3 linked regions of the Macaca fascicularis genome follow. The protein of the gene in region 1 interacts with the protein of each later gene in a pairwise test. Links are inferred from orthologs where the notes say so. Each region holds a gene or a part of one and is shown on either strand. Other genes may lie near its edges.

The links.
Region 2: the proteins of CTNNA3 (region 1) and PKP3 interact in a two-hybrid assay, tested with the Homo sapiens proteins (2 studies listed by IntAct). The link is inferred for Macaca fascicularis from reciprocal best matches to the Homo sapiens genes CTNNA3 and PKP3.
Region 3: the proteins of CTNNA3 (region 1) and JUP interact in binary tests that used the Homo sapiens proteins (3 or more experiments, as listed by UniProt). The link is inferred for Macaca fascicularis from reciprocal best matches to the Homo sapiens genes CTNNA3 and JUP.

The regions. Positions count from the first base shown.
Region 1 is NC_088383.1:80,657,318-80,660,040, reverse strand, and holds the end of CTNNA3 (catenin alpha-3), read right to left. Parts: intron 1,140-2,723; coding exon 852-1,139; 3' UTR 541-851; downstream 1-540. UniProt on the Homo sapiens protein: May be involved in formation of stretch-resistant cell-cell adhesion complexes.
Region 2 is NC_088388.1:296,807-301,123, forward strand, and holds the start of PKP3 (plakophilin-3), read left to right. Parts: upstream 1-1,493; 5' UTR 1,494-1,577; coding exon 1,578-1,809; intron 1,810-3,906; coding exon 3,907-3,986; intron 3,987-4,112; coding exon 4,113-4,317. UniProt on the Homo sapiens protein: A component of desmosome cell-cell junctions which are required for positive regulation of cellular adhesion. Required for the localization of DSG2, DSP and PKP2 to mature desmosome junctions.
Region 3 is NC_088390.1:62,792,220-62,795,868, forward strand, and holds part of JUP (junction plakoglobin), read right to left. Parts: intron 3,168-3,649; coding exon 3,012-3,167; intron 2,845-3,011; coding exon 2,725-2,844; intron 2,121-2,724; coding exon 1,970-2,120; intron 1,877-1,969; coding exon 1,755-1,876; intron 235-1,754; coding exon 195-234; intron 1-194. UniProt on the Homo sapiens protein: Common junctional plaque protein. The membrane-associated plaques are architectural elements in an important strategic position to influence the arrangement and function of both the cytoskeleton and the cells within the tissue.

The sequences.
Region 1 (2,723 bases):
TCATACAGAACTTACACTTCTGTTGTTATTAATATAACTCACTTTGGGATATAGTTTGTGTCTCATTTCCCCAGTGGGTGGTAACTCTTCTTTCACATATGTATTCAGATAGGCCTAACACGCAAAAGTACAGAATTTTCTAACACATTGGAAACCCAAAAGGTGCATATGTGGCATCAGAACTCATTGTAACCTTTATAATGTTAAGAAAACATTTCATTAATAACCAAGGTTGACCTTCAAAATTCAGCAAGTAGCCTGACTATTCAAATTTGATTAGTTTATAATGGATGTTAGCCTAATAAGTTGACAATGAGTACAGCTATCTAGAGATTACAAGGTTGTTTTTTAGCTATGGCAGGAATCATACATTTCTGCCAGGTTAGATCAGGTAAAGAAAGCATGGAGATTAAATGGGAAAATATTTTATAAAAGTCTTTTGTTTCTATTAAAAAACCAAGTCAGGAGCTCATGTTAGTGTTTTACTTAAAGATAAGGATGATAAGTGCACTTGAAGTATTATGGATAAACAGGACTCTCTTGCATCTCCTGTGTTTATTTGTTAACAAATAGTAGATAATCTCTATGATGGGAAAGACTGAATGACACGTGATAATTCCATTCATTGAACAAGCAAATACTCATTAACTATTAGGTGCTGACCATATAGAAATGACAATGACATGATCCCAAATATATATTGCTTATGTTGATTTGGCACCCAATATTTTATGTTATTTGTGAGTTAAACACCAAAACTTAGTGAAATTACAGAACTTCTTAAGTGTAAAATAAAGCAGTGTGGTTAGCCAGGATTTTGTCATATAGGCACTATAGGTAGAATAGTGGTTTCAGTAGATTTGTCTTCCTCTAAATTCACTCATGACTTGAACTGGATGGATTTTTTTCTTTGCTGAGCCTCGTCTGACAGCTGCACACGTTTCCTCTGGCTTCTCTCTTTTAATTAAGGGTTTTTTTGCAGGAGCCTTCATTCTCCACATCACAACTGGGTGCCGGGGCCCAGCAGGACTCTGGATTCGGATGATCTTGGTTGAGGCAATGTAAGACATTTTCACTGTTTGCACTACAGCATTCATTAAATTTTTGGCTGCTTGGATCAGGGAGGTGACACTGTCCAACTGTAGGGAAAAAAAAGAAAAGAAAAGAAAAAAGAGCTATTATTCCAGAATGCAATTAAGAATTTAAGAGATTTAATGTTATTGAAGCCAAAGAACACCACTTTGCTTTTACCTCAGAAATGAATGAGTTAATCATTTTATACAACTATGTATAGTTATCTACCTCAATCAGTACATCCATTTTTGATCAGTTATCTATTTATCTGATACATCAATTGATTCACAGTCTATCTTCTAAGATGATATCATAGAGAGATTAATTTCTTTCTCTTGGCTTTCAGTGACATCATGTAAATTCTGCAGGGCCCCAATCCACATAATATCGCAAGGCCAGATGGTCACTCTTTTCTTTGTAATGTATCTTTCTATTTCCAGGAGATAATCCTGAGCTCTTTCTGTAAGACAGGATTATCTGCAATAAAACCTATAAATAATTTTATATGAAAACAATTGAAAATTCTCCTCAGGGAATAGTTTAAGATAAATATCATACATACATGTAGGTAAAGACATGCATATATACTAGTCTCTTTCTTGACTATTTCCCAAATAATTGCACCTAAAAGGGTCTCTTTTTTTAACACAGAACTCTTATTTTATCCTATAGTATTTTAAAATAAAATTGGAGCTCTATAATCAAATGAAGTTGAGTTTAAATTTCAGGTCTGTCATTTGGCAAGTAGGAAAAATCATTTAACCACTTTTGCCCTAGTTCTTTCACTATTAAAAAGAAAAAAAAAAAGCAAGCATGTCTATTAAAGGAAAAGTAATACGTGTAAATAAACTAGTACAGTTGATTTTTATTAAATATTATTTTCTTTTTTTGCTATGAAGACTGACAAAATTGCTTAATGGTAAAGATGCATTAATGAGATTAAAAAAACATTTTTCCACATGATTCTGTTTTTGTTATATTTTCTGGTTTGGGTACACAAGCAATCTCAAGGAAAAATGAAATGGTATTCCCAGAATCTTACAAAATACCTTATAACTAAGCTAAGCTGAATTTTTTTTTTTTTTTTTTTGAGACAGAGTCTCCCTGTTGTCACCCCGGTTGGAGTGCAATGGCGTGATCTTGGCTCACTGTAACCTCTGCCTTCCAGGCTCCAGCAATTCTCCTGCCTCAGCCTCCTGAGTAGCTGGGATTGCAGGCGCCCACCACCATGCCTGGCTAATTTTTGTATTTTTAGTAGAGATGGGGTTTCATCATGTTAGCCAGGCAGATCTCGAACTCCTGACCTCAGGTGATCCACCCGCCTCAGCCTCCCAAAGAGCTGAGATAACAGACATGAACCACCGCACCCAGCCAGCTGATTCCTTTTTATACAACCAATGTCTCTTCCATTATTTTAGTTTGGCAGATTGTCATCCACCGCCAACTCATACAGGAAGATGTGCCTCCACTCTCATCCCTCTGTAATGCGTGCTGTCAGGATTGAGACTCACACACTCACTCTGTAGTTACTAAAATCCATCAGCAGCTGCCTAGCCTGAGTTGTCTGCCTTTGCTGTTCGAGGAGTCTCTTCTCACATACCGAATAAATGAGCAGAGGAAAGGAGAAAGCTGAGGTTATGTGCCTGGAG
Region 2 (4,317 bases), on another chromosome or scaffold:
CACTGACCTCACCCTTAATGCTGCCTCCTAACCCTGGATCCACCCTCACTGAGGGGAAGGGTATGCCCGAGAGGAGAGCCCAGAGCCCGGGTCCAGGGTCCAGAGAGAGGCAGAGGCTGTCAGATGAGCTCGTAAGAGAAGCCCAGGGGTTGTCAAGATGTTCAGCTCCCACCCCCAGCCCTCCTAGGCTTATCCCCACCCCCCCCCCCCCATCTACCAGGGGCCTGTCCCGGAGGCCAGAGGGCCTCAGAACCTGCCTGCTGGCTCCACTGGCTGTGGTGCTCGAAGGAGACCTTCTGGGCACAAGCCCTGCTTGGTCTGGGCCTCCCCCGCCACCCCACCCCCACCCTCACTCCCTCTCCATCCCGGCCACTGCTCTCCCAGACCCCCTGGTTCTTCCCCGCACACCCCCACCCTCACTCCCTCTCCATCCCGGCCACTGCTCTCCCAGACCCCTGGTTCTTCCCCGCACACCCCACCCTCACTCCCTCTCCATCCCCGCCTCTGCTCTCCCAGACCCCCTGGTTCTTCCCCGCACACCCCCACCCTCACTCCCTCTCCATCCCGGCCACTGCTCTCCCAGACCCCCTGGTTCTTCAGCGCACACCGCTCCTGCCCCAACCTGGCATGCGCTGACAGGAGTGCAGGCCCCTCTGAGTCAACCCCCTGGGGCAGCCCCGCCCCCTGCACCCTGACTCATGTGCTGGGAACGGCCTCCCACCCGAGGGCCTGGGGGGCAGGCGCAGTGGTGCCAGGGTCCCAGAAGCCAGAGAGGGTCAAGTCAGCCCTTTGGAGGCCTCTGTGGGGGGTGAGGGGGTCCTGAGGGTGAGTTCCAGGGTCGGCAGGCCTCAGGGGAGGGCCGGTCCATCCACATGCTTCCTGTGGGGAGGGGGCTCTCTGGGTTCCAAGCACCAGGGCCTCCATGGAGTCCGGTTGGACCCTAAAGCTCCGTCCCTCCATCCTGTGTCCTGACCCCGGCACTGACCCCTGGCCCCCCACAGTGTCTCCTGCCAACCCCTTCCTAGGCCTCATCCCCGCCTCACCAGCAAGGCTGGGCTACCGTGGAGGCTGTCTGGTCCTTGGAGCTACCTAGGGCCCTAGACCCCCCAGGGGGTGGGACACCCTCCCCTTCATGCTGGGGGTGGCAGGACATAGGCCCCCTCAGGACCTCTGCCCTTCCCTGACACTCAGGACACAGAGGGCCCCTCTGTCCCAGCCCCACAACAGAGGGCTCGGTCCGGCCTTTACAGGCTGAGAACAAGAAGGACCCAGGGCCCCCGTGGCCCTGTCGTGGGATGGGAGAAAAGGAGGCAGGAGGCCAGGCTGGGACCTGGGGCCATGCAGGGCCTGTTCTTCCGCCCAAATTCCACCTTAAGCAGGCGGTGGCCCCTCCCTCCCACCTGGCCAGGTGTCCCCGCCCCCAGCTGCGCTCAGGGCTGGGCAGGCGTCTGTCTCCAGGCGGCCCTGGGTGAGGCTGGCGGGGCGGGGACTTCAGGGAGAGGGCCTGGAGGGACAGGACGTGAAGATAGTTGAGTTTGGAGGCGGCCGCCAGGCCTAGGCCCGGTGGACCTGCCGCCATGCAGGATGGTAACTTCCTGCTGTCGGCCCTGCAGCCCGAGGCCGGTGTGTGCTCCCTGGCGCTGCCCTCTGACCTGCAGCTGGACCGCCGGGGCGCCGAGGGGCCGGAGGCCGAGCGGCTGCGGGCGGCCCGCGTCCAGGAGCAGGTCCGCGCCCGCCTCTTGCAGCTGGGACAGCAGCCGCGGCACAACGGGGCCGCTGAGCCCAAGCCTGAGGCGGAGACTGCCAGAGGTAGGCCAAGGCACAAGGCAGGTGCCGGGCAGAGGGGACCGCGGCGGGGACGATGGTGGCGGAGAGAGGTGTCTGCGGGCGGAGGTGGTAGGGCGAGGGCAGAGGCCGCAGTGAGGCTGGCTCCTGACTCACCAGGCCTCACACTGAGTCACGCACCCCGCCCCAACGGGCGTGGGGAGAAGCCATGGGTGGGGCTCCCCATCCAAGCAAGGACCCCCGGGTCCTCCAGGGACAGAGCCTGGCCAGGCCCCACCTGTGTCCTCAGCCTAGAGCCTCCCCCGTGGGGGATGACAGGGAAGGCTGGCACACGGCAGGCGGGCCAGGCCCCTCAATCGGCAAACCCGGAGCACGCACGCGACTGCCCCAGAAGCACAGGCTCACGCACGGTCTCAGGGACACCCAGACACCCACGCTTCTCCCACACCTCATGGGAATGAGCAGAACAGGAAAGCGGGGAGAGGTGTGGGGGGGCTGGGAAGTCCTGGAGGAAAGCCAGGCCTGTCTGGACCAGGGGCTCCCTGAGGAATTAGAGGGGAGGGCCCCACTGGAGTGACCCAGATTTCTCTGTGGGAACAGCAGGTGGAGGAGCACCCCTCAGTGCCAGCCAGACCCACCTGTGGCGGAATCCTGGCCCCACTCACGCGAGTGCGTGTGCATGCGTGTGAGTGTGAGTGACAGGAGCACGCAGATGCTGTGGTTGAGGGCAGTGGTTCTAGAACGTCATTTCCTCCTTCGCCAGCTACAGCAACAGGGATTAAGGTCAGGCAGTAAGAGGAACCTCCCAGAATGCCAGGGACCCAGATGCCAGTTCATCGTGGTGCTTAGAGGGGACCCCCAGGACTGGTCTCCAGCTACTGGCCGGGGGGAAGTGAAGGTCACCCAGCGGAAGGGCCGGCCTGGCGGCCTGGACTGTGGGGTCCTCCCTCCAGGGGCCTCAGCCTTGCTGGTGACCAAGTTGGGTGCCCAGGGGTCATGGGGTGGAGGACGGTGAGGGAAGGGTTAATTACCACCCTGGCTACCCTGCCAATTAGAGGGGGGTGGATTATAATTGGGGGGTGGGGGTGAGGTCCCCAGGCTGGGGCGTGCCCCTACTCCGGGCTGGGCCTCACCAGCGTCAGAGAGTTAATAGCCCCGGCCCAGAAGCCCCATTAACCAGGGTGAGTCTGGGGCCCCTGCTGTGGGGGTGTACCCAACAGAGCATCCAGCTCTGGGCAGAGTTGTGGGAGGGCCATGGCCCCCTTCCCTGTACCCCACACTGAGCCCCTCAGCCAGTGGTCGCTCTGCTGGGCCTTCTCATGCCCCCGCCATCAGCCCGTCCTCTCTGCACCCACCCACGAGTCCATCCCTCTCCCCACTCACCATCCACCTGCGGGACCCACCATTGTCGCCGGCTCTCCCACCCCTCCGTCCACCACTCTGTCCATCCTTACAACAGTCACAGCAGCCCTCCCATCCTCCTCCTGCCTGTCTCTCCATCCACCCTCCGCCCTCCGCCCTCTGTCCACCCGCCTGTCTGTCCACTCACCGTGGAGTCGGGCTGACGCAGCTGCCCTTGGCGTGTGTGTGGCTGGACGGGGTGGGTGTGGCCCCTGCCTCGGGCTCTGCCGGGTGGGAGAGAGCACTGCAACAGGGCATACTGGTCCAGGGAGACAGTGTCACTCTCCTGTGACTGGGCACAGATGAGATTTGGGCACAGGAGGGGCTCAAAAGGAGTCAGTGTGAGTTGGGGCAGGCCAGGTTGGCTTCCTGGAGGAGGAGGCTGGGCGCTGTACCATGGCAGGGATTGGAGAACTGATGTCAGAGTCCCTGGCACATTCCTCCAGGCGACCAGGAGGTCAGTGGGTGAGCACATCTGCCTTCTTGGGCAGAGGAGGCACAGCTGGGGGGTGGGCTGTGGAAGGTGGACCACCAGGGCTGACATGTGAGGAGACCAGGCCATGGCAGGAATGGGGAGGCCCTGGCCCCGAAGCCCCTGGCCTCCCTGCCCTGGATTGGAGGCTGCTCCTGGGGTTGCGAATAGCGATGGAGTCGGGAGGAGGCAGGAGGCCGGGGCTTTGCCGTGTGGCAGAGCTGGGCTACCACTGTCCCTCTCCACAGGCACATCCCGGGGGCAGTACCACACCCTGCAGTCTGGCTTCAGCTCTCGCTCTCAGGGCCTGAGTGGGGACAAGACCTCGGTAAGCAACGGGCCCAGCCCGAGGGGGACAATCTGAGCTCTGCAGCTCGGAGAGGGGGAGGCCCTGCGGCAGGGCTGGACGCAGGTGAGCCCAGGCACGTCCTCACTGCCCCCTCTCGACCCACAGGGCTTCCGGCCCGTCGCCAAGCCAGCCTGCAGCCCAGCCTCCTGGTCCTCCCGCTCCGCCGTAGACCTGAGCTGCAGTCGGAGGCTGAGTTCTGCCCACAACGGGGGCAGCGCCTTTGGGGCCGCTGGGTACGGGGGTGCTCAGCCCACCCCTCCCATGCCCGCCAGGCCTGTGTCCTTCCACGAGCGCAGTGGGGTTGGCAGCC
Region 3 (3,649 bases), on another chromosome or scaffold:
CCCATGCCCACCCCTGGTGGGCCTGACCCCCTCCCCAGACCCCACACCAGGGCATCTAGACTAGGGTACATGTGGATGCCACAGAGCAGTTGCCACTGGTCCTCTGGCCCCAGAGACATAATATTGCCCCCTCACACACACCCACACAGCCACCCAGGATCTCCAGGGTCCTGAAGAGCCTGGCACACACTTACCATCTCCATAGGGCTCATTGATGGGAATCATGCTCTGGGCCTGAAAAAGGAGAGAGAAACATGGAGGAGAGGTTTGAAAATGCAGGCTCCGGCCGGGCGCGGTGGCTCAAGCCTGTAATCCCATCACTTTGGGAGGCCGAGGCGGGCGGATCACGAGGTCAGGAGATCGAGACCATCCTGGCTAACACGGTGAAACCCCGTCTCTACTAAAAAAAATACAAAAAACTAGCCGGGCGAGGTGGCGGGCGCCTGTAGTCCCAGCTACTCGGGAGGCTGAGGCAGGAGAATGGCGTGAACTCGGGAGGCGGAGCTTGCAGTGAGCTGAGATCCGGCCACTGCACTCCAGCCTGGGCGGCAGAGCAAGACTCCGTCTCAAAAAAAAAAAAAGAAAATGCAGGCTCCAAGCTGGATATCAGCTGGGGGGCAGGGAGAGATGCTTCTAAAAGAAGGGACTGGGCCGGATGTGGTGGCTCACGCCTGTAATCCCAGCAATCTGGGAGGTGGAGGCAGGCGGATCACTTGAGGTCAGGAGTTTTGGACCAGCCTGGCCAACGTGGTGAAACCCCGTCTCTACTAAAAATACAAAAAAATAGCTGTGCGTGGTGGTGCACACCTGTAATCCCAGCTACTTGGGAGGCTGAGGCAGGAGAATTGCTTGAATGGGGAGACAGAGGATGCAGTGAGCCGAGACTGCGCCACTGCACTCCAGCCTGGGCCACAGAGAGAGACTCCGTCTCGAAAAAAATAAAAAATAGCCCGGGTACAGTGGCTCACACCTGTAATCCCAGCACTTTGGGAGGCCAAGGTGGGCAGATTACAAGGTCAGGAGATTGAGATCATCCTAGCCAACATGGGGAAACCCCATCTCTACTAAAAATACAAAAATTAGCTGGGTGTGGTAGCATGTGCCTGTAGTTCCAGTTACTCAGGAGGCTAAGGCAGGAGAATTGCTTGAAACCAGGAGGCAGAGGTTGCAGTGAGCCAAGATCACGCCACTGCACTCCAGCCTGGCGACAGACCAAGACTCTGTCTCAAAAAAAAATAAAAACAAATAAATAAATAAAAGAGGGGGCCAGAGAAAAGCAAAGAGGCCTTGGAGGAATACAGGATGATGAAATGGGGTCACCCAGTGCCCTGATGTACTCGTGTCCTCAGTACTCCCCAGGGAGGAGGGTTCCCCATTCATGGAGCAGGAACTCCTGCTGGATTAGAGCAGCTCATGGGAGGAGGGTAGGAGGCAGAGGACTCACGAATGGGTGCAGGGCACTGCTCCACCCTGGAAAAGACCACCTGTAGCCTATCCAGCACCTCCATGCAAATTAGGAAAAGCACCCCCTCCTCAAACACCGTATACTCATTTGGGCAAAATAAAAATTGGCATTGTGTGGACATATGGTTCAACCTACTACTTCCATCTGCTAGGAATTGTTATAAATGATCCAATTACAAAATAAAAATCTATAAAGTTGACAGTAGTAGGAGACCCCCAAAAGTCAAGTTGCCCTTGGGCAGTGCACAAGTTGTGCAACCAACTACTGCGGTCCAGCCTAGGATACTCACAGCCTCCCAGGCAGCCGGGTCATGCTTAAAGAGGGAGTTGGTGAGCTCCACGGACACACGCTTCCGGTAGTCTGGGTTCTTGTCCTCAGAGATGCGGAACAGGACAGCAGCAGCGTAGGTGGCTGAGCAGAGAGGAGAGGAAAAGCTAGGTTAAACGTCTGCCAGCCTCCATCATGCCTGGGGGAGTGGGACCCAGCTGCCCTCTTCCAGCTCACCAGTGCCCTCGTTGCGGGAGTGCAGCAACTCCATGAGTGGGGCCGAGGCCCCCTCTGCATCAATGGCGTCAGCCGCCTCCTTGTCCTGGGCCAGCTCACACAGCACCCCGGCGGCCACACGCTGGATGTTCTCCACCGATGAGTACAGGAGCTGGGGAGAGGGGACATGGGAAGCAGGGGAGAGGTGGGAAGGGGTGAGGCAGGCCGGACAACACACCCCACAGCCCTGCCCACCTCCACCCTGTAGCAATTCCATAGTGGAAAACGGGCCATCACTGGGGAGTAAGTGTTACTGTTTTAAACTGGGCTGAGTGTTGTTCATGAACTACCTTGAAATTACCTGTTACTCTGCTTCATCTAACCATTGGAATCTAGTGTTAAAGAAGTCACTGACATGAAAGATGTTAAACTCTTGTCTGTTATGGTACTTGCACATATTCTCCCAGTTTGCTGATTTTTTTAATGCTTTTTAAAGGTTCTTTCTGAAATAGATGGTTTTCATGTTTATGTGGTTGAATCTCAAGTTTTTTTTGTTTTTGTTTTTTCCATTTGTGATCTCTTTCCTTGCTTTGAAGCTTAGAAAGCCATGCCTGTGCAGGGGGTTGCTAAGTAGTCAATCTGGTGTGGCCACTTTCCTCCAAACTCCTCCAAAGACCTCTTGATGCCTGGTCCAGGCCCTCAAAATCTGGGACTCCTAACCTTGCCCTCTAAGCAGTGGTGGGGGCAGCTCTCCTGCATACCTGCCCCAGACTCACCTGCACAAACAGAGGGATGGTGTTGAGCCGGAAGATCTCCATGCGGTTCATGGGGTCCCGGGCGAGGATGTGCAGGGCTCCGGTGCAGCCCTCCACAATCTCCTCCATCCTCACACCATCCTGCAAGAGAGGAGGCAGGGGGCATGGGACAGGTGCTGTCAGCCGAATGAACTTCACAGGCTCTTGGAACTGGCATCAGTTGCAACTGACCTCTGCATTCACACACACACCCACAGAGGACACCTGCCCCCCAGGAAGGTTGTCACAGGCACCACCAGCTCACATACCGTGTAGGGCTGCTGTGTGCCTGCAGCTACGTGGCGCTGGGCATCCTGGTGGGCCTTGACCAGCAGTTGGACGAGGCGGGGGATGACCGCTGCCTCCTGCAGTGGGGCATGGTTGGCTGGGCACAGGGCCAGATTCCTGATCAAGCCAATGGTTGCCTGGCAAAAAAAAAAAGGGGCAGCAATCAGGGGCACTTCTTGGACATCTGAAGGATCCCAGCTTCCCAGCTTCAGGTATCCCCTCTCTCCTTCACCTCTTCTGTCCCCGAGGCCAGACACAGGCACACTAGAAGATATCCAGAGAAGGAGACCATCCCAGCCATGTCACTTAATCCACAGGATCTGGGGGTGCTCATGGCTAATCCTTTTCTTTTTTTTTTTTTTTTTTTGAGATAGAGTTTCACTCTTGTTACCCAGGCTGGAGTGCAGTGATGCAATCTCACCTCATTGCAACCTCCACCTCCTGGGTTCAAGTGATTCTCCCGCCTCAGCCTCCTGAGTAGCTGCGATTACAGGAGCCCACCACCACGCCCAGCTAATTTTTTATATATTTTGTTTGTTTGTTTGTTTGTTTTTTTGAGACGGAGTCTCGCTCTGTCGCCCAGGCTGGAGTGCAGTGGCGTGATCTCGGCTCACTGCAA